6 linked regions of the Cricetulus griseus genome follow. The protein of the gene in region 1 interacts with the protein of each later gene in a pairwise test. Links are inferred from orthologs where the notes say so. Each region holds a gene or a part of one and is shown on either strand. Other genes may lie near its edges. The genes, in order: Ube2n, Amfr, Rnf11, E3 ubiquitin-protein ligase TRIM32, Mid1 and Lrsam1.

Region 1 (5,119 bases):
AATAATTTTATGGTGGGGGGTGGTCACCGCTGATTTAGGAGCTCCTTTAAGATGTTAAAGACCTCTTTGAATCATTAAGGCCATTAGTTAATGCTTCTCTCTGTTCCAGTAGCACCCTGGGAAAACCTGTTACAGCTTCACACATTAGCCTGCAATCACTGTCTTTTCCACAGTGGACTCTTTCAGTTCAGGAAGGCATGGTCTGCTTTTGCTCTGGTCTCCTATGGTAACTCAGCTCCAAGCTGCAACATTCTCCCTTTCATTCACCTTCTACTCTTTGTGTCACTGTGCTGGCAGCCAGGGTTAGGTGAGGCCTGTGCTTTGGCAGACCTGCCTGGGAAAGCAGCTGCATTGTTTTTGCTACAACCTTAGAAAACGTTAACAGCATCTAAACAGCACGTTAAAATGGAAGCAGCAACAGCCCCTTAAGTCTCATGAAAGGAGCTGGAGAAACGGTTCTGCAGTAAAGAGCACTTGGTTCTCTGGCAGAGGACCCACCTGGAGGCTCACAACCATTCTTAAGTCCAGTTCTGTGGATCTGGCCCCTGAAGGCACCAAACCATGTATGTTAGTGTTGTTAACTTGATAGAATCTAGAAACACCTAGGGAAAAAAGCCTCTGGGCATGCCTGTGGGGGACTTAATTGATGTATGGACACCCATCTTAATTGTGGTTGTCACCTGGGCTGTATAAACAGAGAGGTAAGCACTAGCATGAAAAATTCGATGTGACCAGCTGTCCTTAACTATGGTGATTATCCCCTTTGAACTGAAATTAACCCCTTTTCCTTTAAGTTGCCTTGTGGAGTATTGTGGTGATATTTTATGATCTAATAAAGCTTGCTTGAAGATCAGAGTGCAAAGCTAGCCACAGCCATTCAGGCCAGACAGTTGGTGGCACACACCTTTAATCCCAGAAGACAGAGGCAGATGGATCTGCGTTCACCACCACCCTAGGAAAACCTGTAGGGAGGTGGAGAGAGAGGAATCATAAGGCAGAAGGAGACAGGAAAGCTTGGATTTAGAGGTTGGTGGAGAGCAATGCAGTCTGAGGACAAGGATCTCCCCTTCCTTCTGAGCTTTGGTAGAGGTGAGAACTCTCTAGTGGCTGGCCACTTTGTTTTTCTGATCTTCAGCCTTAACCTCAATATCTGTCTCTGAGTTTTTATTATCAATATCAACTATTATTCGTGCTACAGGATATTTTATCACAGCAACAGGAAAAGAAATGAAAACACCCAACAATCCCTTTTGGGACCCCTCCACTTTTAGGGCCTTCACTCTGAAGGTACTCCTACTCCTTTAGGGATTACTCCCCTACTTGTTGCAAATCCTTTTGGGGTGGGGGACAGGTCGGAGAGCCCCCCTCCCTTTTTTTGTTGATTGTTTGCTTATCAAGACAGGGCTTCTCTGTGTAACTTTGGAGCCTGTCCTGCAACTTGCTTTTTAGACCAGGCTGACCTCGAACTCAGAGATCCTCCCGCCTCCGCCTCCTAAGTGCTGGGATTAAAGGCGTGCGCCACACCGCCAGGCGAGGCCCCCCCCCTTTTTTTTTTATGTGAAATTAAAACATTTAGAATTATTTGTCAGGGCCTTGACAACCAGTTTCCCAGTTAGAAGCTTTGCCATCGAGTGCTTCTCGTTTGGAACAAGCCCCCCGATCACCAGGTCGACGGAGATGCGGCGCAGCGTCAGCCCGCCGCGCAATGCGGGAACATTGAATGAACAAATGGAACGAATGAATGAATGAGCTACGCCGGGGGCCGGGCCTTTGTTACGTCGCCCACCGGCGCAGGCGTGGTCGGTCGCACGTACGCTACTCGTGGACGCCGGACACCCAGTCTCGCGCAGATTCTGCCGCGGGCGAAGCAGCTCGGCGCTGCCTGGCGCCGCCTCCCCCAAGTCCCTGCCCCGCCGCGGAGCGTCACTTCCGCCACCCCCGGCTGGGGTTGGGGCGGGGAGTGCGGGGGAGGGGGCCATCAGGTCGGACGGAAGGCCGCCCGAAGCCCGCGTCCAAGCAGGGACTACATTTCCCGAGGGGCCTCGGCGGAGGCAGCGGCGGCGGGCGCGGCGACGTCCCCCGGAAGTGGAGTCCGGGACTTCCACTCGTGCGTGAGGCGAGCGGAGCCGGAGACAAGAGCAGAGGCCGAACTCGGGATCTGACAAGATGGCCGGGCTGCCCCGCAGGATCATTAAGGTAACCGCCCAGGCGGGCTTCGGGCCTCCCGCTCGGCTCTCCTCCACCAACGCGCCGGGCCGCGCGGCCATACGCTTCACTCGGCAGCCGCTGAGGGGCCCGAGGCATCGCGGAGAAGGGTCTGGCCTCGGCGGCGGGGAAGTCGGGCGCTGAGGAGGGGGCGCCGAGGAGACTTCCGGCCGCCGCTGAAAGCCGGACGCCGGGGGCTCTCGGGCTGCGAGGCCGCGCGCGGCACGGGAGGCCAGGCCGGTGCCGGTGCCGGGTGGAGGGCGGGGCTGCGGGCTTGGCGTCTGGCGCGGGACCGGCGCGGGCCTCGCCAGGCTTTCTTCACCCGCGGGCGGGAATCGCGGCGTGGCCTGGACTCCGGGCGTGGGTTGTGGCCTGGGCTGGCCGCTTCGCCCCGGAGCCCCCTTCTCCTGGTCGGCGGTCTCGGGTGCAGAATGAATGAACCGGCCCCGAGAACCGGGCGGGGCCGCGGGCCGCGAGTCCAGCCGCCGACCGCACATGTTCGTCCTGGCTGCCCGCGGTCGGCGGCGCCGGGGGCTTGGCGCCCGGGTGGGTGTCCTGCCCGCCGTGTTCGCTTCCCCGCGTTGCTGCCGGTTATCTCCGCGAAGTGATTTTACTCCGGTTGGCAAACTCTTTTTTCTTTTCTTTCTTTATTTTTTTGGCCAACTGTTTTCTGTTCCGAGGCACTGGTTCAGCCCAAAGCATCTCGGTTATGGGGATGATCTGTAATAGTTCGCCTCTGTTTTCGTGCGCCTTCCGTATACTAAGCGGTCTCGAGGCTCTTTAGGAATACTGTGTTTTGGTGAGTACGTATGGAACCATGAAAAAACTCGTATCTTGATTTTCTGAAGTCTTTACATAACAGCGTTGAGACTTCAGACACGATAGGCATCTGTTTTTATGAAGGATATTTAGTTAAAAAAAAAAAAACCCTACACTGCTCACCATGCCAGTGATATGCCCATATTGAAGCTTCGTTTTGCTTGCTGTAATCTAGTGAGCTTGAATTTACAGCACTGTTCACTCTTCTGAAGTTTTGGGCGAGATTTGTACTAATTATATCGAGGGCCCCTTTGAAGGATGTGATGCACTGTCTAGTCCCTCGGGCAGTCACAAATGGGTGTGAGGTTGGGTGTATGACAGAAAGGTGCTTAAATTAGAAAACAAGACCATTTATAAGACATTCTTAGGAAGAAAGAATAAATTGTCAACGAGCACTGTAGTCTTGACATAAACTTTTACTGCTATATTATGAATCTCAGATTCTTTCAAAGTAGATTTTAATTGTTAGGTCGTGCGTTGGAAAGTCCTGACTCGTTTAATTCTGATACAGAGACATGAACACTAGTGATCATGTTAATCAGGATTCCATTTGAAAAATGATTGCTTCCCACCAGACCACCGGGTTTTTATTGTTTGGTTAGGGACTAAACATACCACAGATTGATAATGAATATAATTCTCTAAAATTCACACTGAACCTAACAGTTGGTGTAGTTTTTTTTTTTTTTTTTGATTTTTGCTTGATTGTGAAGATTAATATTCTGCAGTAATACAAAAGTCTTGATTGGGAAAATAAATTCTGTGGAATATTGGCTATAAATTTACAGAAATGGTTTAAAGTAGGATGTTGAGGAGCTTGTTTAATTCATTTGGTACACAATGCTTAAGCATATATTCAGTGTTGCCATTTTGCTATTTTAAAACAAGGTAGTGGTAAACTCGTGCTGAGACATACAATCTTTACAGTATTTTATTGCACCCACCTCTAATTTATGTAATATTAATTGACTTCAGTACTTATAGCTTTAAAGGATTTTTTTTTTTTCCCCCATCAATAGGGCAGGTTAAGAGATTAGAATAATTTTTTTGTTTGTTTTCGAAGCAGGGTTTCTCTGTGTAGCTTTGGAGGTTGTACTGGAACTCACTCTGTAGACCAGGCTGGCCTGGAACTCCCAGAGATCCTCCTGCCTCTTCCTCCCCAGTGCTGGGATTAAAGGTGTGTGCCACTGACACCCCCTAGAATAATTTTTAGATCCATTTTTATATTATGTAGGTTCTATAATCAGTTAAAAATATGCTTTTTCTACTGTTAGGGATTGAATTGAAACTAGCTAGGACTTTGTATGTGCTCTGCAAATGCTTTACCACCAAGCAACACCTCAAGCAGAAAACGTATTTACATTAAAATTTATTTTGAAAAGTAACTTTTGGGCCAGAGAGTGCTCAGATATGGTGCTTGCAAGCTTTCTGAGTTCTACCCTTAATACTGCACACAAACCAGTTTTGGTATTGTATTTAAGTGTTACTTTTTTTTTTCCCCCCAAGACAGGGTTTCTCTTTGGAGCCTGTCCTGGCACTCGTCTGTAGACCAGGCTGGCCTGGAACTGACAGAGACCCACCTGCCTCTGCCTCCCGAGTGCTGGGATTAAAGATGTGTGCCACCACACTTGTCTGTCATGGTGTTTTATACTTATGATTCTAATGTAATAGAGGAAGGAGGGTTTAGAAGTTTATCATCCCTGGCTGCTTAGGGGGTTGAGGCCTGTCTAGAATATATGAGACTTTGTTTCAAACAGGTTAATACAATACTGGGGTCTATGTGACTAGAACAGTAAGTGGGTAAGGGTCGATGAAGCCATAGGGACATACTTTTTTCTATTGGATTATTTTATTTCTTGGTAGACTTTGGCTTTCAAAGGATAATATTTACTATTGCTAATAGTCTTTTTTTAAATTTTGAGACAATATTCCATGTAACTTGTGTTGGCCTCAAACTCAGATTTCCCTGCTGCTGCCTTCCCGTTCTGAAACTAAAAGTATAGGACACTATACCTCGCAATATTACTCTTCTCATCTCACAAATATTAAGTCGTTTGGTTTGGTGAGTTATTAATATGGTGCTTTCTACCTCGTG
Region 2 (4,368 bases), on another chromosome or scaffold:
CACTAATGTTAGTATGGATGCATATGTAGAGACTGGAAGTTGATGCAAGGTGTTTTGTTTTCCACCATATTTTTTGAAATAGGTTTTCTTCCCTGAGTCTGGAGTTCACTTACTAACTAGACTGCTCAGTGAGTTTCAGAAGCCTTTTGTCTCTAGGGTTACAAATGTGCATGGCCACGCCTGCTTTTTATATGGTGCTGGAGATTCTACCCACTTCTACTCAGCATTCTACCTACTGAGCTATGACTTTAGCCCCGCACATTTGTTTTTATTTTACATTTTGCTCTCCCCATCTCTGTTTAGTTGTTTGGCAACATCTGGTTATCTATGGCTAGCCTGGTCATCTTTATGCAGCTTCGTTACTTGTTCCATGAGGTGCAGCGGAGAATCCGTCGGCACAAGAACTATTTGCGTGTGGTAGGAAACATGGAAGCCAGGTAAGACAGTGTGCTTGATGTTCCTGAGCTTCCTCTTCTTAACTTTGTGTGTGTGGTATTGGGACAAGATCTCACTGTAGCCTAGGCTGACCCTCTACTCTCTCCCACTGTGCTCATCCTCTAGGCCAGCTTTAAATTCATAATCTGGCTGCTTCAGTTACCATTCCCAGCTCTCATTTGAGCTCATTTAATAGCAATTCCTATATCCCACCAGAACTTGCTTTTGTATTCTTATAACTAGACAGAAGAGTACAGGCATGTCAGACTGCTTGAGTGTGTATCCCACTTAGTTGCAGGGTGGTTTGGGGCAATTTATTAACTGCATGTACTCCAGTGATCTTATCTTTTAAAGATGACATAGAACCGTTTTCCTGGAATGTGGGGAGGGTTCCAGGAGATAAAATATTCTTATTTTTAGTCACTGTCTGTTGTCACTACTGAGTGGAAGCACTTGTGGTCTTCCACCATCTTTGTTTTGGGGAGGTGTGTCTTGATTACACTTTGCACATGCATGTTTATGGACATGGCTCACGCACTAAAGACACTCACTTGCCAGCCTGAGGCTAACCCAAACCAGAAAGTGCAGGAATAGTGGTTACCCTTTTAGTTTCTTGGGGACTGTCTGGATCTCTGGGGGTCTGATTCCTCTGATATGTCCATAAATGTTCTGAATTTCACTCACAGGTGCCACTGTTACTGCAGGGTTGGCTTTTGTGCTGGTTTCCTTCATGGTTTTCTAAGGGCTATGAAGAAAAAAAATACTTTCTTTACATAATTGATTTTGTTATGTACTTGTGCCGTTATAGTGGTTAGGTGTATAATATGGTATACATTGGGTGTGTGTGAAACTGAAGAGTTCCTGCTGGGCCTGTTATGTGTTTTACAGGTTTGCAGTTGCAACTCCAGAGGAGCTAGCTGTCAATAATGATGACTGTGCAATCTGCTGGGACTCCATGCAGGCTGCAAGGAAACTTCCCTGTGGACATCTTTTTCACAAGTAGGGGCTTTGTACAGGGTGTTTGGGAGTGGCCTTCTGTCCGGGGACTCTGGGTGCTTTTTACATGGTTTTGAACATAACTCAGCAGCGGAGCAAGGATGTTAGCTCAGCCTAGCCTTGTTGTTGATGTTGCTTGGAGCCTGTGACTAGCTTTCTGAGTCTCCTCTTTTGCCCTCAGACCATTTTTTACCCACATTTGCCATCTTAACTTCTATTTATATCTTTCTTTCATAATTTTTCTCCGTTTAAGTTCTAAAGTAACAAATATGTCTATAATATTTTTTAAAGGGAGTTTCATTTTCCAGAGAGAGAAGCTTTTCTGTTTTTGTTTTTCTTTTGCATTTTACACATGCTCAGAAGCAGTGTGCAAAATACTACAGGGTGAAATAGACTAGACCAAGGTTATTTGAGTAATCCATCTGCAACTATCACAGGGTAGGCCTTCCAGAAAGCTCCAAGATTAGAGAGGGCCTCATATTTCAGAGATGTCATCAAGGCTATTTAAGTTAAATAATTATGAACATGGACTTAGTTTTGCTATTGATGAATTTAGAGGTATCATTTGGCCCCTTGACTATTGAATTTTTTTATCTTAACACTTGTAGTCTTTCCCTTTTTAATATCAGAAAGGCTTTGGAACTGGAGTTAGCCCGTTCAACAAATGTTTTATATGTTAGAATTAGGTGTTGGGTTGTGGGGGTAAAATGGAAATAACAAATGAGGTCTTTGTGGTGCTTGCAGTCTAATTAACCAGCACATTTAGAATGTGCTTTATAGAAAAGAAACAGGGCTCTGAAGTAGTGGCACACACCTTTAATCCCAGGACTCAGGAGATAGAGGTAGACCTCTGAAGATTAGTAACAAAGGAATTGGATTCAGGTTTGGAGGGAGTGACTTTTGAGGATGGGCAGAAGTGAGATTTGCAAAGAAAGAGCAAGTTGGAGAGGATGTAAAATGGGAGGTACGGGGGGAGCTGCTGCAGCAGAGGGGAAATGGAGTTGATGGAACTAGGTTGAAGCCAGTGTGTGACCTCACGGAAGAAGAAGGAGTGTGTCTGGCCGAGGTAGGAGTAGTAGGCAGGGTCCAGAGGGCCACTGGATGGGTAGAATGCCATTGAAGGGTTTTCAGTGAGGTTGGTGGACAGAGAGGAGTGGATTAGTAGATCCAAAATCATTGTTGTGAAGACAAGGCCGTGTTATACCATGTTGGTCAGTAGCTAAAGTAGTAAAAAGAAAGATCACGGGAGTAGAGGACTTGAGGATGGAAGAGGCCAAATATTGGATGATTGAGCCACATGGATTCTGAAGTAACTGAATGGAGGTGGGGAGATGAGAAGCCTTCTTCGAAGTGATTGAGGATGTGCATTACCAGGAATGTGTTAGATGTCTGTGTGTTAGAGGGAGGGGTTAGAGAGGTATATATAAATGTTTCTCAGCATTTAGATATGGTTAGTAGTAGAAGCTAAGTAAAATTAGAAAAACCAGTAATTCTGATGAATTCTCACAAATTATGCTATGGAGCAATTGAATATGTTCATATTGTTTCCTTTCAACTTTTTGACAGCTCCTGCCTTCGTTCTTGGCTAGAACAAGACACCTCTTGTCCAACATGCAGGATGTCTCTTAATATTGCTGATGGTAGTCGTGCCAGGGAAGACCATCAAGGAGAGAACTTGGATGAGAACTTGGTCCCTGTGGCAGCTGCAGAAGGCAGGCCCCGCTTAAACCAACACAATCACTTCTTCCACTTTGATGGTAAATTGTCTCCAGCCTCCACTCTGTCTGTGGGATTTTCTTTCCTAATGAAATTGTTATGGTTTTAAACTGCCCTGTTAATATTATAAATGTATATATTATGTTTATAGTATTATATTATAAACTACCCTAATACTAGACAAGTTTAGTATTACTTTTTAAAATTCTTTTTTTATTTTAATTAGAAGATTATTTTACATGTCAATCCCAGGTCCCTCTGCCTCCCCTTAAAATTCTTTTTATGGCATGCATTATTACATTCATTTATTCTGTATGTGCATATTTATAGCACATGTGTACATATACTCCATGACCTGTGGAGGTCAGAGCAGTTAGTGAGTATGTTGGTTCTTTTCTTTTATGGATCCGGGGGATTAAATTTGGATTGTCAAGCATCAAGTGCTTTTATCTATAGGGTTACCTTGCCCCCTTAGTATTACATTTTAACTTCCTTTATTTGATTTTTAATACAAGTGTGTACTGGCCTTGAATTTAAGATCGTTCTGCCTCAACCTCCCTGGAGTTAGGATTACAGGCTTGTACTAGCCTGCCTAACTATACTTGAATTCTGAAAGTGTTCAGGGTGAGTGGGTGGGTAGGTAGAACTGAGGAGTTATTCTGTGCCATTAAGAAGTAGGGTAAGGTGGAGGTAGTAAAACTGAATTAAGCTTACCTTCAGGGAGCCCACATAACCAGTTTAATAGTTAGACTTTGCTAATAATTGGTTGTATTGGTGTGATATAAAAGCATATGATGAAGGCTCCATGAGTTGCCTTCTCAGGGAGTACCATTGGTGGAATCAGAACTGGAGCCCTGTTACTTTGTCCATAAAGCATGACTGTGCCTGTCGTTTGTACTCTAAAGTCATGGGCATTGTAGGGGAGCGCTGATTATCTTCCCTGGATTCACATGTACCCAATGGATATTGAGGCCATCAGTTGCAGTGCCACATGTTCTGTGAATTCCTATTCTGGAATTTTCTTAGGAGAGATGCTGTTCAGACTCTGATTTAAGTCTCTGAGAGTGAAATATGATGAGAGTATTGATGCAGTCCTGAAAGGTCCAAGGGGAATAGAGGCCAAGTATCTGAAATGTGTTGGAGGCGGGGCCTCAAGGTGCTATGTAAACAGAGGTGGAGCTTTACTTTTGTCCTGACTGCCTGGTCTCAAATAAGCACACC
Region 3 (4,368 bases), on another chromosome or scaffold:
ACAATTTATTCAACTATACACCTCTATTGTTGGACATTTATGAAGTTTGTATTTTTACCCCTCAATAAAACTACAGTAAACATTTTGTGCCTAAAGTTCTAGTATGTATTTGGCATGGGGTGGGGAGTATAAATACTGAGGACATTTAATTAGCTCAGAGTTTAAAAGGTTTAACTCATTTTTTTAAACAAAAGTTTAACTCCTTAGACAACTGCTAAATTGCTCTCATAAAATAAACCAGAAATGTCACATTTATATAGGTAAATGGTTTTAACTGTCATCTAAATGGGCATGCAGCAACTATATTCGTCAGAATGTAAGACTTCTTTATTGCTACATTGGGTTTTCCAGTTGCTACACTTAACTTGGGTTTTCCAGTATAGAATTTCATAAGCTTCCTAAATAAACAAAAAGCCAAATTCAAAAAGCTAAAGTTTATGGTTGGAAATACAGCTTAGTGTTCAATCTCCAGTATCATCAAAACACTACACGCACAAATCTCTATAACACATAAAATTATTACTTACTCTCGGATCTTTTTTTCTGATCCATCTCTTCCAGGGTCATAAACTCCTTTAGGCAGATGCTGTATAAGGCCTATTCTTTGAGCTATTCTAATTTGTTCCTCTTCAGTCAGCTGAGTTGCTAGCCGAGTCTGGCTAGGTGTTGGATGATAGACGGGAACGGGAACTTGTTCCTAAATATGAAAAGTGCAGGAAAAAAAATTAAAAGCCATTTTCTGGGGTGTATTAAATTACTTAGCCAGAGAAGTTAAAATAGGCCCTGTGATAAGTGGGAGACTGGATAATCATGCAGCAGGCTTTGTATCTTACTGACTTTGTCATATAGACACTCTTGTCTATGATCAAAAATACGAGTGACCCTTTACATTATAACTGAGAATGTGAGCATCTTCATCTTAGACACACTACTTTAAAGTTTTATACTTAGTAAGCATATTTCAATGCAGACAAGTCCCATTATGATGCTTATTAACTACATACAACATTGACCAAGTTATTTAACATTTGTACCTTATAGAAGGTCACTATAAAAGTAGGAATTTTAAGTGTTGTCCTTACCACTGTACACAAGAAAGCTTAAATTATGTAACAGCCAGGATTACAACTCTGCTACTCTATGACTGCAGAACAGCATTTAAAAAAAAAAATACTAGAGCCAGATGTGGTTTCCCAACAGAGATTGAAGAATCAAGGCCAGCCAGGGCTACATTGGGCCAGCCTGAGCAATACAGTGAGACTCAAAAAATTGGAGAAAAAAATCACTGGATTATAGGGCTGTCTATATTTGCTCCTGTTTCTTTTATCTTTTTAGTTTAAGTCAAGGTCTCTCTATGCAGACCAGGGCAGCCTCCAACTTTACCTGCCTCTTTTGGGATTAAAGGCAAACTTTACCCTGGACAGGCTCTGCTCCTTTGTACAGAACAGTCTTTGATAGGATGGAACAAAGAAAGTCTACTAAAAATGTAACCAACCCCAGTGTTTCATTTCAGTTTATTGTATCAAACATTTCCTGGAATCTGTAAGCCCATTGTTAAATACCTAATTAAAGCTTGAGTTCAAGCCACAACACTTGAGTCTTTTGGTTTTGTTTTAGAAGTATATTTTTAGGAATGACTGATTATTGTACTCACTTCTGTCACCTCCTCTTACCTCAAAATATAAACCTTAAATGTTTACCAATTAATCATTTTCTATATACAAGGAAACAGCACAAAAAAGATAATGAAAGTTTGTGAAAAATTGCTAATTAATAGAAAAACTGGCCTTCAAAGGTACAAAGCGTCAGTAGGAATAGTTTTCCAAAACATACTTGAAGACTAGCTATTTCTGAATGGAAAGGCCCTTGTATTTCCACAAGATGGCTGTAACCATCTCTAAGAATACAAAGATAGTTACTTTGCGTTTTGGACTAACAGTAATTAATCTGTGCCCTAGGCATATAATTCCAACTCAAATCTGCCCGATTTGGGTGGGGGAGAGGGGGCGCCTCGGAGGAGCATGCCTTTAATCCCAGCACTTTTGAGAGAGAGACTGGGAGATCTGTGACAGTACCAGGACAGCCAAAAAGCAAAACAAAATAAAAAATTAAAGGTACTCTATATTAAAAGTACTCTATATCATGTAATGTCAGAAAATTTGCAATCAGCATTTCTTCTCCAAGTGACAATACTTGGCTTGTTGCTTTAGATTTAACTTGGGTCCAAAACCAACTGTATTTCTGTTTCTTCTAAAACCTTTCCAAGCTGTCTATCTCTGGGTTAATGACAGAGAAGTACAATGGGGGGGGGAAAAAAAAGAAATGCATTTCATAGAATTTCAGACCTGGCCCTTTTGGCATATTAATACCTCTGAACTCCAGGGTTCCACACAGCAAATTAGAAGACCTTTTTTTTTTTTTAAAAAAAAAAAATGTCATTCATACTGGCAAGTGGTGTGGTACATACACACAATCGTAGCACAGGTGAAGTAGAGGCAAGATTGTTTCCAGCCTGATTTATATACCAAGTTCTAGGTTAGCCAGAGACACATAGTGCAAATCTCAAAGTATCTAGGCCACTCTATGATGACCTCATTTAGTCAAAGGTAGCTAGTTTATTCTGATTCTTCCAACTTCCTCCTTTCCCTTTATTCTGGTTTTTTCCTTTACTTATATTTCTGAACTTTGTGTTTGAGGTCAGAGAAATTTGGAGAGTTCATTCTCTCCTTCCACTATGTGGGCCCAGGGGATTGAACTCAGGTCCTCACATTTGGAAAACCTATTACTTGCTGAGCCATCTCAAGCCCTCTTTTTGAAACAGGGTCTTGATATGTAAGCCCATGCCCGCCTCTTTTTTTTTTTTTTTTTTAGCTTCCCAAGCACTGTATTATAGAGTCTTATCCAACCATCACTGATAGGAAACAAATTTGATCTGCAAATCCAAATTTTGAGATAATATGGAAGTCATAACTGGAGAAGCAAATATATTTCAAAATAGTATTTTCCTTAATGCTTTGTTTGGTTTCTCCCATGAATCTCCATCAGGGTGGTGGTGAAAAGTATTTGCCCTAAAGGGATAATTTTAAATTAAAAAGTTCCTCCAGAGAACTGCAGTATTGTACAAAATACAATTTAAAATGAACAGAAGACAGAAAATATGGTGATTAAATATACTCACGGAAAGGGAAATGATAGGGTTAGATACCCACACCCTCAAAAAAAAAAAAAAAAAAAAAGGCAAGTTCTGTACATGTTAAATCAAACTACATTTCCAGCTCCTTGTAAAGTATCTATATAGATGCTTAACATAAACCAAGAAAGAAACAAATGCCAGGCAGCACACCTTTAATCCCCGCACTCAGGAGGCAGAGTTCAAGGCTGGTCTGGTCTACAGAGTGAGTTCCAGGACAGGCTACAAAGCTACACAGAGAAACCCTGTCTTGAACACCTCCCCTGACCCTAATTTGAGCATTTGGAAGGCAGAGGCAGAAGAATCTATGCATTTGATGCCAGCCTGATCAACATAGTGTGTTCTACGACAGCCAGGGCCACATAGAGAGACCCTGCCCCTCCACCCCACAAAAGAGAAAATGTAAAATATGTCTGCACTATAAAGATGGATTTAATTCCAGCATGGTAGAACATACCTGTAACCCCAGCAATTCAGGTGGAGGCAGAAGTTCAAGGGCATCCTTGACTACCCAGCAAATTTGAGGACAGCTTATGAGACCTTCTCTCAAAAATTGTTTTATTGAAGTAAGAGAATATGAAACAATTTCCAAAACTAAAACAATGCAATGGGGATATGCCTAAATAATACCAAGGCTGGAAATAGTACAAGTCTGGCTTGTGGTGAAGGAAAAATAAAGTCACTACTAAAGAATGCAGCTTGTCACCAACAGCTGTATATTTTCAGCCAGTAGGAAATGAAAGCTCACTCTTGATTTTTCTCCTTACACGATGCTGCTGGCACCTCCTCCTCTCCAGCTGCAGTCTTACTGGGAATGTTTTCTCTAAATTTTACCACACTTATATTTAAGTCCATAAAAAGCAAGATTTGAATAGTTGGTCTCAGTGTATGTGTTAGCTCAAATGATTCATTAATTTTGACCATAAAAGGGTGAGGGAGAACCCCAATAAAGCAAGATTACATTTATATGTAGTTCTCAAATGGCAAAGAGAAAACAAAAGCCTGCATGTCATCTATGATAGGGAAATATCACTTTATATTTAATGGTATAAGCCAGAGTGTCCTTCATGTTTGAAAGAGCACTTCAATCAGGAGGCGGGCTGGTATTTTTTGTTTAAGGCAGGTTCCTATGTAGCCTAGACCTGTTCAGTAGCCAAGGACGAAATTGTGATACTCCT
Region 4 (4,944 bases), on another chromosome or scaffold:
TATTATCTTTCCTCTCCTGATATCTGACACACAGAAGCCTGGGACTATGGAACTAGCTGTATGACAGATTATAGGAAAAACTACTTACAACTTTGTTCCTGTTTTGTTTATTTGAGACAGGGTGTTGTGGTGTAACCTAGGCTACTGGTAAATTTTTTATCAACTTCACACAAACCTAGACATATCCAGGATGAGGGAACCTTAATTTAGATAAGACCTCCATCAGATTGGCCTTTGGGCAAGTCTGTGGGGGCATTTCCCTGATTTATGATTGATATGGGCAGTGCCACCCCTAGGCAGATAGTCCTAGGAGAAAGGTAGGTGACCACAAACCTAATGAGCAAGCTATAAACAGCATTCCTTTGATCTCTGCTTTTGTTCCTGTCTCCAAGTTCCTGGCCTTCATGAGTTTCTGCCTTGGCTTCCCTCAATGATGGTCTGGGATTAGGATGTGTAAAGCAGATAAACCCTGTCCTCTCCAAATTGTTTTTAGCCATGGTCATTGACAGAGCAGTACACAGCAAACTAGAATAGGGCCCAAGCTGCCTTTACACTGTTACTTCTCCTTGCTCATTCTCCCAAGTGCTAGGTTGTCAAGATTGTGCCACTATGCCCAGTTGATTGTAATCTATTTTAACTTAAAGTTAACGTTAATAAAGTGTGAATCACACACAACTTCAATCAATCATCACAACAACCCTTGACTTTACTTAGAGATAAAGAAATAGAAAGATTAAAACAAGGTTAAGGGTGCTTTCTAACAGTGGTATTGAAACCCAGGTTCTGACAGGTTGTTTTGGCATCTAACCCTCAGTTTCTTTATCTCAGGGCTGTTATGAGGGCTGGACTAAGCCTGTAAAGTGCTTAGCTGTAGTTAGTCAGAAAGTGCTCAAAGATATTACTGTTTTTGTTTATTGTCTTAACGTTGTGCTGGGGGCACACAGCTTGGTGGAATTTTAAATATGGAGACATAATATCTTAGATTCCTTCAGACTCCTAACTAGTAATGCGTGTTCACGTCCTGGAGCAGGCATTACCTGTCCCCAAACTATCTGCAGCAAGTCCTGGCTAGTCAGTGGGCCACAAAACCTCCCGCAAGACAAGGTTCAGTGCAGGGCTTTGCCCGTTTCTACCTCGGCTGCTCGCCTCCAGGATACTACTTCCTAAATGCAGTGTGTTCAGTGACTAGGCAGAGGGATGTGTCACAGGCAAAATTACCTAGCTCCAGGACCAGCTCTTTGAAAGGAGTGTGTTGTCTTCCTGAACTGAGGTACAAAGAGGCGTTCCAGCTAGGTGCCCGGACTTTCTGTAGACTACTACTGGGAGATTAGCATTTACTGACCGGGTAAATTTCGACTCTGAGACAGGCAGAAAACTGGATCACACACCGCGGTGTCCTAGGTTTCCAGAGTCACCCCCTACCTCTTCAGCAGGGCCAAGAGCTCTGGGCCCGCGGGCCTACAAGCCCCAGCATGCCTCGGGGAGGCGGAGCACGGTGATGGACAGGCATTCCTGCGAATTGGCACCCGACGTGGGAAGTGCGCGCTGGCGCATGCGCAAAGGGCGGCGGGCGGGTGGGCTGGCTGCGGTGGACTCGCGTCGGAGCCGCGGGCGGTCAGGTAGGGGGAGGGAAGGAGGGTCTGCGACCAGGGACTGTGGTGGGTCGCGGGGCTCCAAGATTGAATGGCAGGATTTGGGGACTGGATCGGAGTGGCAGGACTGGATGGGGGAGGGACGGGCTTGGGAGAGATTCGGTGGGGTTGAGATGCAGCTGGGGGAGGGGAGCAAAGGGGCTGAGGAGATTTGCAGTTGCAGCATCTCGGGAGGTATGAGGTAATGTGGGGGCTGAGCGGAAAGACGGCGTAAAGCATGTGGGAGATCGGGGGTATCTGGAGTCCCTGGAGGGATCTGGGTGCAGAATATCAGAAATAGAAAGGAATTTGGGAGGCATGGATGAGATAGGTTGGGGGTTGGTGGGCAGAAGCTCAGAGGCTTTGAGGAGATGGTGGAATGGGAGCAAGATCTGAGGTCAAAACAGTCAGGGTCTTGGAAAAAATCTAATTGCTGAAGAAAAAGGCAATTCTGTAGTAGAATCTGGGAGAGATTTGAGGGGTGAGTTCCCAAGGAAATCAGTATCCAGTTAGCAAATCGCAAGCAAAGGCTTGAAGGCAACACGTGAGGCAAGACTAGGGTGGGTGAGGGTGGGGGTGGCACTGTGCAAGTCAGGGAGATGCAGATGAGGGCCCGGATTGAAGGAGGCTAGAAATCTGAGGTACAGTGTTGGAGTTTGGAGCTGGCATACAGGAGTGACAGATGTGGAAATTTGAAAATAGATTGAATAAAGGGTGTAACAGGGACCCAAAAGCAATTGGTGAAATGCAAGGTTGCAACATACAGTCTAGAAGGCTGAATTCTAGATTTGGGATTGAGGGTTGGGAATGGGGTTTGTAGAGGATTGAATGGTGGGGACTGAATGTTGTGACTAGATTGTAGTTTGTGAATTGGTTCTTAGGCTACTAAAGGAGGCTTTGTTTGTTTGTTTTTGGTCTCTGCATAATTGAACCCAGAAGGTGTTTGGGAGACCCAGGAACCTGAAAGTAATGTACAAATAAACTATGTATGAATGAATGGAATTTAGGAGAATGCAGAGGTTTGGGAATAAAGTCACGAGTCTTGAGAGATCCTGAAGGAGAGTTTGACATTCTCTGAAGGGCAGAGTCTTCCTTGTACTAAAAGCCCTTTGATCCTGAGACAGACATAGCATTCTCACTGACACTGACTAGCTTAACCTACTCCACGCAGACCTAACATTATAGGCCTTGTGGAAGAAGAGAGGGAGAGGAAGGGAATGAAGCCAGAAACTACCCAAGGTCTTCTGCTATCTGTCCCTTTCCCTGTGCCCCCAAGCTGTAAGAGATGTTTAAGCCCTCCAAGGTATTGAGTCAAATGATCTTGAACCTGACTTTATCTTATTTTAGAAGACCAGCTATGGCACAAAGAGGTAGTGGTTCTGTAAATGAAGTGTTAGGGCTGGGAGAGAAACAAAACAATGTCTGGGGAGCAAGGGAGAGCCTCACATGTGCTGAATATTTAGCCTAACTATGTCATAATCTAAAGCCTTGGTTCTCAGTCAGGGGTGATTTTCTTCTGCCAGAAAACATTTGACAGTGTCTGGATGGGTGCATTGTCCCATCCAGTTGAGGGGGGTGTGGCGGTTGTTAGTTTCTAGATAACAACCCCAACAGTTACCTAGCCAGAAATGCAAATGGAGGGACCTGGCTTCAGAGTCAGATATTCTGAGTTCGAATCCTGGCTCTTTCTCTTCCTGCTTTAGTCTTTAAAGAGTGACTTGACCTCTCAGTGCACTAGCTTTTTTGGGATCTACATCATAAGATTGTTGTGAGGACCAGTGAAATCAATCAGGGGGCTTACTGTCTAGTGCTCAGTAGGTGCTCAGAGTGTACTCCTGTAAAAACTAATAACAGTCCTGCTAAATATGCTTTATTATGTCCTGTGTTGCACATGAAACTAAGGCTTAGGAGGTCACCTGTCCAAGGCCATATAACTAAAAATGGCAAAAGTAAACTGACGTGTGGATACCCACCACAGTATATATCCTCCTTACTTGCTTCTTTGCTACAGCCTGCTTTGTCTTCCCCTTTCAGCCTTTTCTGATGAAAAGGAAGATTGCCCAGCATTCTAAAGCAGTGTGTTTCTTCTTGATCAGGAGAAACCCTGGGCACCCTGTTCTTGGCTTGCTCTTAGACCAGAACCAGTGGAGAGATAATGGAAGGGGCTTGGAGCTAGGCAAGGTGAGGTGTAAGGAGCTACAAACTGAGATGAAGAGGCCACTGGCTTGATAGAATGCCTCAGCGGGGCCTCAGGCTGAAGGCAGTCATGGACTGAAGGAGAGTTGCTACTACTCTGAATGGCCTCTTTTGTGTGTCTAGTCTCTGGAACAAAAGAGTAGTATTGTCTTTATCAGCTCCAAACCCAGCTACAACATTACTGAAGCCGGCTTTAAAAACAAAATTAGACTGGAGCTGAGGGCAGAAGACTTAACTGGATATTAGCACACATCACTTAGGAAAATACCTGATAGGGATTGAGTTAGCCTTGGAATCAGCTTTTTTACTGCTTGCTTGTTGGTGGTCCAGCATGTGTCAGCCTCTGTCCAAAAGCAGTCAGCTACATTGAGTGCTGACAAGCTAGACGTGATTCCTTATTTTATAGGTCAGAATGTTAAAAAGTTAAGTGACATATCTTCGTAAACTACAGAGCAAATGGTTAATCTGGCATGTAAACTCAGTTCTATTTGACTCCTAACTTCTACAATTCTAGTTTTAGAGATCTTCTGACAGTTAAGGCCCCTATACCTGTGTCCAGGGAGTGTCCGGAAGTCACAAGTTTGTAAGGCTGCTAAAGTGCATTCTCTTGTGTATGCAGATGTGTTTCCTTTGGGAGACTACTTCCATTGTGCCTTTCTGATAGAACAGTACAATTGAAAAACATCATTCCTGCATGCATTTCCCAACCTCTTAGCCAGATTTTACCTTGAGGTAGCAGTAGTCTCATCATCTATACAAGTAGAACATGTTTTGAGTGTGTGTAGTTTTGTATCACAGTGTTCACATGTGGGCATTTGAGGTGCTGCTCTACTGCATACCACAGAGGGGGAACCTGGACAGGTTGCCTTGTTCTCAGTATTACTTAGGATGTGGAGTATCAAGTCCTTCACATGGTTAGGAGGATACTTGTGACGTGCAAAAAGTGCCTGACACTCATTCCTCCTTGTTTGCTAAAAGGTGGCAGTTAGACATGATCTTAGCTATCTGCAGGTAGTATCATGAGCACCCTCAATCTAAAGTTCACAGGCCTATCTCCACTGCCAGAGCTAGGGGAATAGCAGGTGGTGACCTCTTGTGCTGGAAATTTGCTTTGTTA
Region 5 (5,024 bases), on another chromosome or scaffold:
CACCAAAATTTAAATATTAGTGAAAGCCCTTTGAAGAGAACACACTAACATGCCTTCCAATGGAAGAATCAAGATGGGTCTTAACTTGATATGCCAAAGCTGTGTATCCTAAACAGAAAAAATGTGTGCAGTACTTTCAAGGTAATATTTTCATAGTATTTTATAGCCCAAACTCATATTCAATAAGTGTACACTTCTGATCTCATTTTATGCTGTTTGATATTCAAATGCAGTCATATCAGTAAGTGATGACTTTGTAGAAAGTATTTTGTCAGTTTGTAACTCTATTTAAACTATCTGAACATACTATTAATAAATATAAATGTGCACATGGGAAAGTGCCATGTTAATGTTCTTCTGTGTCAAAACTGATTTTATTTTAGAAATGCTACTGGAGATACATTCTAGAGGATTTGGAGAATGGGATCAACAACAAACTGATCCTGAGATGTTGGAGGACTAATCACCTTATCTTTCTGAGCCTGTTGTGTTATTGTGAACAGGAAGTAATACACACTTTACACCATTCCCATGGAGATAAGAAAAGTGATTGCCTTTGCCCAAAGTGAAATGCTTTTCAAAGTTTAGTTATTCTTCTTGACTGTGCAATTAGAGAAATTCTTTGGGATAGGTTGAATTGGTGCTGGCCTCAGTCACTGCCAACATCCATTGTCTCTCCTTTCTGAATCAGGGAATCAAAACAGCACTAAGGTATTTTTAATGGCATTGTCACTACTCTAGGAGAAGTCAGCTGGTGGGCACAATAAGAACAAGTGATTCTTTTAAGGATTGCTTATACTTATTACACAGTCTTCATCTCCATTAAAACATAGGAAAATCTTACATCTTATTGCATCTACTTCTTACTAAGTCTTTAGTGGAATGAATTACAATGAAAAAGAATTACTACTTTACTATGATGTTTAAAAGTATAGAGAAAGAATCAAGTATTACGAAATCTACATGTATCATATTTTAAACTGTATTTCAAGCTACAGTTAAGCCTCCCATCTATAGAGTTCACTTAAAGATCTATTTCTTATCTTCTTAAATCAGTGAAATTGCTTAAGACTTTTTTTTACATATAGCCATGCAAATTCACAAATCTTGTATTTCTTTTTTGACACAATCAAATAATATGTTGGTTAGGGAAGATTACTGCTGCAATAGATATAATCAAACTGGTATTTCACCCTTCAAAAATACAATAGCAATCACTGTCTTGTAAAGCAAATAAACATCAAATATTTATATTGTATTATCTACTAAAGTCCTGGGAAAGTTGTTGAGTAAGTTAGTTGCTATGCTCAAATAAGTCAGTTGTGCCTTGTTTCATGGAAGTTTATTCTCTTCTCGTTCTCTTTCTGTCATAAGATTTACCTCTTTGAAAATAATCTCAAAATAATATTCCCTATTTTTAAAATCATGAAAGACAAAATGTGATATCCTATACTTTGATTTTTCCCCTTCAGTGCTTTCTGATAATATAAGGTTGGTCACAGTGCGTGATATAAAATACTAGTTGTTAACTCTCAGTTACACTAAAGGGGCCAATTTTTTGCAGACTGCCAGGATAAAGATGATTTTAATTAAATCCCACAAATCCCTTTGTACTGCAACCAAACCCTCTGCAGGCCAACTGTCTCTGAGTCCTTCTGGCATGTATAGAGTTAATCAGGTTACGGGGGGGGGGGGAGATCCTAGTTAACTTCTTCCACCAGGAATGCAATTCATGTTTACCTATATAAGGAAACCTGTTAGGCTGACCTGAGTTTGGCATATTTTTTTTTTTTTTGCTCTGACTGAGAGGCATGTAAGCACACACCCTGGAGAGGGGGAGCGATTCCCAGCTGGACAGAGCAAGCTTCCTGAACGCCCCAGCCATTCAGCTGATCCGAGGCGAAGAGCAGAGCTGGTACTTGCCCGGAGCAGCCTGCTTGGCGGACCCACAGGTTTGCCTCTTCCAGCTCTCAATTGAGGGACAAACCCCCATCCTGGGAAAAATGGGGAAGCCGGTGAGTTTTACTGCTCTCTCTCTCTCTCTGCTTGCTTCTGCTAAGGGGCACGCCTCGCTGCTCTCACCCAGGAAGCAGAGGGAGAGGCGTTGCTCAGCCTCTAACCCCACAGCTCCTTCCTGAACAAACACAATGCTTTGCCGCGTACCTCCAGCTAACTTTCTCTGCGGGCTTTGCACATCAAAAATCTACCGAGGCAGTAATTCTAGCACCTTAGACATCCCAGAAAGTGTTTTTACTGAGCAAGAGTTTCCAGACCACCGTGATGAGCAAACTTTCTCATCTTTCTTGCGCTCTGAAACAGTGCAGATGAGTTTACGGGGGTGCTTGGAGAGAAACGCTGAATCCCCAAGGAAGTAAGAATAAATCTTAGAGAGTTTCTTAAATCCACAGGCAGGCTGATAGTCTGCGGAAACAGAATTTGTCATTTAAAAAGGCAGTTTGAAGCTATAATTTTTCATTCCCGAGGAGCAAAATACTTGGATCCTGTACGTGTAATAAAGGACACCTTCTGAGACACCGAGGAGAGAAAGAAGCAGAGCTGGCTCCTTTGTTCTAGACAACAACGTATAGAAATTCACTGTTGCATTTTGACAACTAGCATATGCCTGCTTATATATAAGGTGGAAGTGATGAATAAGGCATTATGTCAAGGGCACTGTGGTCAATTGAGTTAAAAATTGGCTGTGCTCTACACATATATAAAACTCTCAGTCTGAATGTAATTAAATATGGGAATGTGAAAGTACTTAGCAAACTTAGAGGGAAATTTAACTTACTACTTGGGAATAGTCAATTATAAAAGGCAACTTGTGAAAGGAAATTTGAAAAACCAAAAACCTGTTTCCACAAAGTTCTGAGGCATAGGTAAAAGTTAAAATGAAAGTTTTCTTATACTTGTCAAAAGTGATTTGAAGGTACAAATTTGTAATTTTTATTTTTGTAAGGCAAGGTGATTTTTTTGAATTGAGTTACTTTGGATAGTTTTGCTAAATGGTGTGACTGCTTATCTTTCAAAGGAACATTGTTCTTTTCTGTCACACACAACACTTAATTCTAAAAATTTGTGCAGTAGCGATTTTGCTACTGACTGCAACAGGTGGCAATGAGGACCTGGTTGCAGATTTGCAATGATGAGGATTAATTTCCTAAATTAATATAAAGGAAAGTAATTGATGCAAAAATGTTTTGAAAGGAGAACACTTTTATTATTAATTGCTAATAATATTCCACTTTTCTACTTGTAGCAAGACTATTGTCTTAATATAGATTGGCAGCTGGCTAGTCATACGGACAAATCTCTGGCCAATTTTACTTAGGGTCCTTGATTCTAAACAGTACAACTATGCTCAGTAACACAGTTTAAATGCTGCTTGCTTACTGCGGTGAGAAAAAAGTGGGAAAGAATCATATATTATAAGGGAGACATTTTATTAAATAAAATTCTAAATAACAGGAGCAGTGAGGGAACAATGCAAATGTTTAAAGCTTGTTATCTGCACACTACTGCTAGGGGGGCAATGGGAGTCTTAATATTGTGCTGCTATCAGTGGGAGTGAGTAGCCCAGGAGACACAAAACACTATTTTAAAATATACCCTTAATAACAGATGGTTTAATACCAGGTTGTCTCACCATGCTGCCGATGAGATGGCCCCAAGCCAAATCAACTGGCATGTCTACCGTTTTTCCTGCGAGTGGATGTGTACATTGTTATTACATACTAATTACATTAACAGCCAAGGGAATATATAACCAGGAAGACATAAGAGTCTCCTGAGCCACAGAGGGTGAGGGTCTTTACAAGGATTTTGAATTTCACACTTAGAAACCTCCTTGCCTGTGACATGAGTTGCTGCAGATGATTGGAAATGTTATCTGTAGAATCTATGCATCCCAGGCTCCTTACAAGCTCATTTTGGGGTAACAATGCTGATTATGGAATGGGACACTTCAGAATTATCAGAGTTCCGGGTAGATTTCATCTTGAAGATTAAATTCATTTAGTGTTTAAATTGTTCTCCAATAAAACACAGTTAGGATGCTACATTTTTACATTAACCCTTTCAAGTCACTGGTAATATGTTCTGGTGTGAAGGGCGCAACATCCTTAAAACTATGAAAAGGTTTTCCTGGGTTTTGAAATTAAAAAAAAAAGACTAAAGAATTCTGAGCAAGGGAAGGGATAGGTCTTCTGATAACTTTGATATGTTCATAAGTTGTGAATTTGTAAAAGCAATGTGGTATGCAACCTACAAAGCACAGTTAGCTACAAACTTACTAATAGTTCCTGGACCAGGCTTCTTTTTGTGGGGGTATCTGGTTATATCAGGACACATTCTTTAAGAAAAAGCTAGCCAGAAATTGAGAACATGGGAAGAGAGGGAAGAAGAGGAAGGATGTAGACGTCATGAGGGAGCAGAAAGATTGAGTCAGAGGAAGAATAGAAGAAAGGGCATGTGATAGGAAGGGTTTTAGTTGGGGGAGGTGGTAGGGGAAAATGGGTGGGAGAAAGGAACTGGGATTATCATGTAAAACAATCTTGTTTCTAATTCAAATAAAAAATGATTAAAAGAAAAAGCTAGCCAGTAGATGGGGTGCTGAGCACTGCTCAAGTGAGTTGCACACATGCCTACTTGTTTATATTTCTTGGCATGTTGTCTATCGAGCTGGACTTGGATGAAGCATATCTTGAAGATGATTTCTGGGCCTCCATTTTCTTAATGTACTGCATAAATTTGATAATTTTCTATACTTGATATAATGTGTAAAACAAAGGAAACTGCCAATGACAATTTTAGGCCCATGATACTGATTAAGCAAATTAAAATGCTACAAATATGTTCTCCATAGGTATCCTAGTTTTTAATTATCTTCTGAGAATCACTAGAGTTTTCAAACCCTGTCTATGTCATTTAATTTTGGATGTACTCTGTGTGTGTGTGATGTTGTTGCTATTGTTGTTTTCCAGGCTTAAAGAACTTTTGAAAAGCTAAATGCAGCTTTTGTT
Region 6 (4,368 bases), on another chromosome or scaffold:
AAATCGAAGAGTGAGTGGGGACAGTTCCCAAGGTGCTGCTGCTGGTGGGGAAAGGGACGTGATTTGTTCAAGGGACGGCGGAGACCTGGACACCTGATGTGGTGACAGCTGTGGTAGTTGGGTCTGTGGTTCCGAATGGAGGAATCTTTAGTTACAGTTCTGAACAACTTCTTAGGCCAGCGGCTCAGTACCTGCACAGACACGCCCACGCTGGCTGTTCATCTTACCTGCCATTCAGCCTCTTCCCTGGACAATCTGTTTATGGGTCCATCGGGGCTGTCCTGGGAGTTCTCAGCTCCATCTTGCTCCAGGACTGGCAGCAGGTACTGAGAAGGCGGGTAGTACTCCAGTCCTGACTCTATGGATGGGGAAGGGGCGCAGGCTGGTCAGGAACACCCCAGCTGCTCGCTCCTGCCCCCTTCACTCTCCTCTCCCCCCCACTGCAGCTGCCTTGCTGGCTCAGTCCATTCCCATCTTCCAAGGCTGGGCCTCACCTCTGTATAATAATTACTGCTCAACGTCAGGCCTGGTGACATGGCCTTGTAATCCCAACTACTCAGAAAGTGGGGTGACTGCAAGTTCTAAGTCTTCCAGGGGTATAGAGTAACTGAGTCTGAGCAAGGCCCGTCTCCAAATGAAAACCAGAAAAAGGGCTGGGCTGCACGGAGTGGTGGCGCCCCTGCCGAGCGTGCGTGAGGTCCAATCCCCTCGGGAGGGAAATAGATGATGCCATATATTTGACTTCTGTAGTCAGTGTATGCAAATTTATTTATGCTTTATTTTTATGCTTGCTGTTTACATAAACATTAGAGAATCTTAAAGCATTCCTTTGGTATTGAGAATCTCAGTAGGTAGCGCAGGCTGGCCTCAAATTCACAATCTTCCTACTTCTGTTAACCCAGGTATTAAAATTAGAGGTGTATACTACTCTACCCAGAAAAAAATTTTTTTTCCTTTATTTTAGCAGCCTGGAACTGAAGCCAGAGCCTTGTTTATACTAGCAAGTGCTCTACCACAGCCTGAAGAACATTTAAAGGTGACCACATCCTTACAGCCAGGGGCAGTGCTGGCCCGGAAAGTGGTGACTGCCAGGCAGAAGCACACTTCCTCTGTGCCTGGCCTCTCTCCCTCTACTCTCTGGCAGAGACTCTCCTAGCTCGCTGTATGCAGTTTGCTCTTCCAGTGCTGCGGGTATGAAACAGTTCATTCATTCTCCAGCTGCTGGATGCTGCAGGGGAACAGTGCTTTTGTGAGCATCTGTGGACAACATAGCTTCTCCTTCTGTTGGGCAAACACCTAGTCAGGGAACTAACTGAGTTGTAGACCTGAATGTTCAGTTCGGACAGACACCAACAACATACAAAGATGGGGAGGGAGAGGGAGAGGGAGAGGGAGAGGGAGAGAGAGACAGGGTCTTGCTACATAGCTCAGGCTAACCTTGACCTCATTACGTAACCCAGGCTGGTCCAGGACTGACTCTGACCTCCCTGTGTCCAAGCACTCAGTACCACACCCAGCTATATTTGGAATTTACTGATTTGGAGACGGCTGGCCTCCTGCCACACTATATGCCTGCTTCTACTCTGGAGCACTAGGATTACGGGTCTGTGCTATTACACACATTATGCGGGGCTGTGGCTTCATGTTTAACAGCCAGCACACAGCAGCTGAGCTCTCCCCCGGCCTCTCTTGATCAGGATCATCAGGAGATCATTTTTCCCTGCAGCTCCAGGCCAGCGGATCTGGGATCATTGGAAAGCTCACCCTAAAGCTCACTATGCAATGAGTCATGAATAATTCAGATGACTGAGGCTTGCTCTGAGAACACAGGTGACAGGAACCATGTTGACAGGTGACAACAGCCCAAAGATGCTTCCTTCTGGTGCCCAGGTCACAAGGGTGTCCCCAGGGGCCTGCCTAGCTGGTTGTCCTCCTTACTTCAGTTACTTCTATGTGCTCTTTGTGAAACCAGACCTCCTGCTGGACCCCGACCCCTGCACTTTTCTTCCTTGGCCTTCAGCACTCCAGCCATACTGGCCCTCTCCACAGTACCTCAGGTCTCTTAACACTTGCTTCCTCTGATAGAAACACACTGTCCCCTGTCCTGGCCCTAGCTCCCTGTCAGGTGTCAGTCATGTTGCTTTCTCGGATGGGCTCCCCAGCCCTAACCTAAGCCAGATGCCTGACTCTAACCTTTCCTAAGCTCAGCCTGGGTGTTTAAGTCCCTGTGATCAATCCTTCATTGTACCTGTTGCCCTCACTGGACCCTGACCTCTGACCAGGCAGTCTGTACCTGCTGGTCTCTGCTGTCTCCAGCCTGGTGGCAGGGGATGGCCAAGAGAATTGGGGGAAGAGCAGGGGTGTCCCACCTTTACCTTTGCAAAGGAACTGCTGCACGGCCGCAGTGCCAGCACCACACACCTCTGGCGGAGGGTAGACCATGGACAAGGCATCAAGGCTCAGCGTCTGTGGACAAGGGAACTCCCTTTACTGTGTATACCACTTCACCCCCAGCACAATTCGAAGTCACTTGGTTTCATTATTGGTGCTGAGTGTCTCTCCTGCCTACACAGGGAGCAATGCCCAATATGGTGGCTAAAGTCACATGTGGCCATTTACATTTCTTGAATTGTGTGTGCATGCTTAGGTGTACATTTATGTGTGTGTGTGTGTGTGTGTGTGTGTGTGTGTGTATGTGTGTAGAGCCAGGTTTCATTAGGAACCATTCACTTTGCTTTTCGAGATAATCTCTCACTGGCCTGGAACTTGGTAAGCTGGCTAGGTTAGCTGGCTAGCAAGGCCCAGGGACCTGCTGTCTCTATTCCTGCAGGGTTGGGATTGCAGGTGCCTGGCTCTAGGGACTGAGCTCAGGTCCTTTACAAGCACTTTCCCCACTGAGTCATCACCCCAGCCCCATTTGTTTTTCCTTAAGATCTTGTTATGTGGTCCAGGTTGCACTGGAACCTGTGATCCTCCTGCCTCCTTCCAAGTGTCAAGATTACAGGTGCACACTGTCACAAGCAGTCTTCATTTCAGTTTTAATTAGTTCAGGTCACCATGGCTATGTGGACATGTCAGCTTGGTAGCTACCAGTTCTTGGGGGCCACCCAGATGACAGCATTTCTGTTACCTGCAGGGGGAGTGTGTCTCTTGAGGGACACTCAGCCTGGTTTTAAACCCCAGCACAGCACAGTCAGTCAGCTGCGCATCCTAACCAGGTATTTAGCTGGGCCAGGCTGTAACTTCCTCAGTGTCACAGGAGTGCAGTATCCCTGATTTGACGGGATGTGTGGCAGGTGACAGGAGACAGCATTTGAACGGAGCTGGCATATAATGTTGACAATGCCTGTTCTGTTACTCTGATAAAAGGTCTGACCAGGGGTCAAGATGCTCCCAAGAGTTTTTAAAGGAACAGCTGGGAAATGAGTTCCACCTAAACTTCTGCTGCAGAGCTGGGGCTCAAGAATGCTAAACAAGTGCTCCACCACTGAGCCACATCCTTGGTCCCTAGGGCTCTTAGTATCTTAGGGTAGATAGCTTCAGGACCAGGAACATGCTCTGAGCTATGCTGATATATCTGGCAACTGCAAAGCACAAGAGACTATTTACCTGTGGATTAATAAAGGTTCAATAACACTATTTAGTGCCTTTGTGGCACCAACCACATTCCAAATGCTCAAGAGACGTATGTGGCCACTGAACTGGGCAGCAGTCAGGAGAAACTCCCGTTATTGGAGAACAATCTCCTGAGAGTCACAGAGAATGGAGCTGACTGAGCACACACTGTTTCGCCACCGTGTGAGGGGCATCAGACACAGATGTGCTGGCTGTGCTCAACTGTTACCTCCCCAGACACCTCTGTTCTATAGTATAGCTTGACAGAGGTGATTCACCAAAAAACTAGGGAATTCTGGGATGCTCAGCCAGGCTGTCACCACTGTGATAGGTATCCAGACACTGAACTTTACAAAGGTGGATGGCCATGAGGGATGTTCCAGAGGATATGATGTCTATCTATGACCAGCTGTGTGGCCTTTGAGGAGTCCAATAAACTAGTTTGTGCCCCATTTCCTTCATCGGTGAAGTCATAACAGGACATGCCTTACGGGGGTTCTGTGTGGGTTCAGGAGCTAACACAGGTCCAGCTGGTAGAGTGAAGTCCTGGGTTCAAGACCTGGCACCACACAAACTGGGTGTACTGGTGCAAAACTGTACTCTTAGTAGGTGGAGGCAGGAGGATGAAAAGTTCGAGGCCATTCTCGGCTGCACAGTAAATTCAAGGCCAGCCTGGACTTTTGAGACTTTATCTCAAAAAACAAACAAAAATATCAGAGGAGCTGACAAGCCACCCTGTCATAACCAAGAGCC

The links.
Region 2: the proteins of Ube2n (region 1) and Amfr interact in a two-hybrid assay, tested with the Homo sapiens proteins (2 studies listed by BioGRID and IntAct). The link is inferred for Cricetulus griseus from reciprocal best matches to the Homo sapiens genes UBE2N and AMFR.
Region 3: the proteins of Ube2n (region 1) and Rnf11 interact in binary tests that used the Homo sapiens proteins (3 or more experiments, as listed by UniProt). The link is inferred for Cricetulus griseus from reciprocal best matches to the Homo sapiens genes UBE2N and RNF11.
Region 4: the proteins of Ube2n (region 1) and E3 ubiquitin-protein ligase TRIM32 interact in binary tests that used the Homo sapiens proteins (3 or more experiments, as listed by UniProt). The link is inferred for Cricetulus griseus from reciprocal best matches to the Homo sapiens genes UBE2N and TRIM32.
Region 5: the proteins of Ube2n (region 1) and Mid1 interact in a two-hybrid assay, tested with the Homo sapiens proteins (2 studies listed by BioGRID and IntAct). The link is inferred for Cricetulus griseus from reciprocal best matches to the Homo sapiens genes UBE2N and MID1.
Region 6: the proteins of Ube2n (region 1) and Lrsam1 interact in binary tests that used the Homo sapiens proteins (3 or more experiments, as listed by UniProt). The link is inferred for Cricetulus griseus from reciprocal best matches to the Homo sapiens genes UBE2N and LRSAM1.

The regions. Positions count from the first base shown.
Region 1 is NW_023276806.1:161,500,200-161,505,318, forward strand, and holds the start of Ube2n (ubiquitin-conjugating enzyme E2 N), read left to right. Parts: upstream 1-2,008; 5' UTR 2,009-2,166; coding exon 2,167-2,196; intron 2,197-5,119. UniProt on the Homo sapiens protein: The UBE2V1-UBE2N and UBE2V2-UBE2N heterodimers catalyze the synthesis of non-canonical 'Lys-63'-linked polyubiquitin chains. This type of polyubiquitination does not lead to protein degradation by the proteasome.
Region 2 is NC_048596.1:170,182,361-170,186,728, reverse strand, and holds part of Amfr (E3 ubiquitin-protein ligase AMFR), read left to right. Parts: intron 1-303; coding exon 304-437; intron 438-1,323; coding exon 1,324-1,434; intron 1,435-2,997; coding exon 2,998-3,188; intron 3,189-4,368. UniProt on the Homo sapiens protein: E3 ubiquitin-protein ligase that mediates the polyubiquitination of lysine and cysteine residues on target proteins, such as CD3D, CYP3A4, CFTR, INSIG1, SOAT2/ACAT2 and APOB for proteasomal degradation.
Region 3 is NC_048595.1:40,364,771-40,369,138, reverse strand, and holds part of Rnf11 (RING finger protein 11), read right to left. Parts: intron 698-4,368; coding exon 528-697; intron 1-527. UniProt on the Homo sapiens protein: Essential component of a ubiquitin-editing protein complex, comprising also TNFAIP3, ITCH and TAX1BP1, that ensures the transient nature of inflammatory signaling pathways. Promotes the association of TNFAIP3 to RIPK1 after TNF stimulation.
Region 4 is NC_048595.1:80,217,298-80,222,241, reverse strand, and holds the start of E3 ubiquitin-protein ligase TRIM32, read left to right. Parts: upstream 1-1,555; 5' UTR 1,556-1,619; intron 1,620-4,944. UniProt on the Homo sapiens protein: E3 ubiquitin ligase that plays a role in various biological processes including neural stem cell differentiation, innate immunity, inflammatory resonse and autophagy.
Region 5 is NC_048604.1:104,293,179-104,298,202, forward strand, and holds the start of Mid1 (E3 ubiquitin-protein ligase Midline-1), read left to right. Parts: upstream 1-1,885; 5' UTR 1,886-2,015; intron 2,016-5,024. UniProt on the Homo sapiens protein: Has E3 ubiquitin ligase activity towards IGBP1, promoting its monoubiquitination, which results in deprotection of the catalytic subunit of protein phosphatase PP2A, and its subsequent degradation by polyubiquitination.
Region 6 is NC_048599.1:144,662,538-144,666,905, forward strand, and holds part of Lrsam1 (E3 ubiquitin-protein ligase LRSAM1), read right to left. Parts: intron 2,467-4,368; coding exon 2,376-2,466; intron 359-2,375; coding exon 228-358; intron 1-227.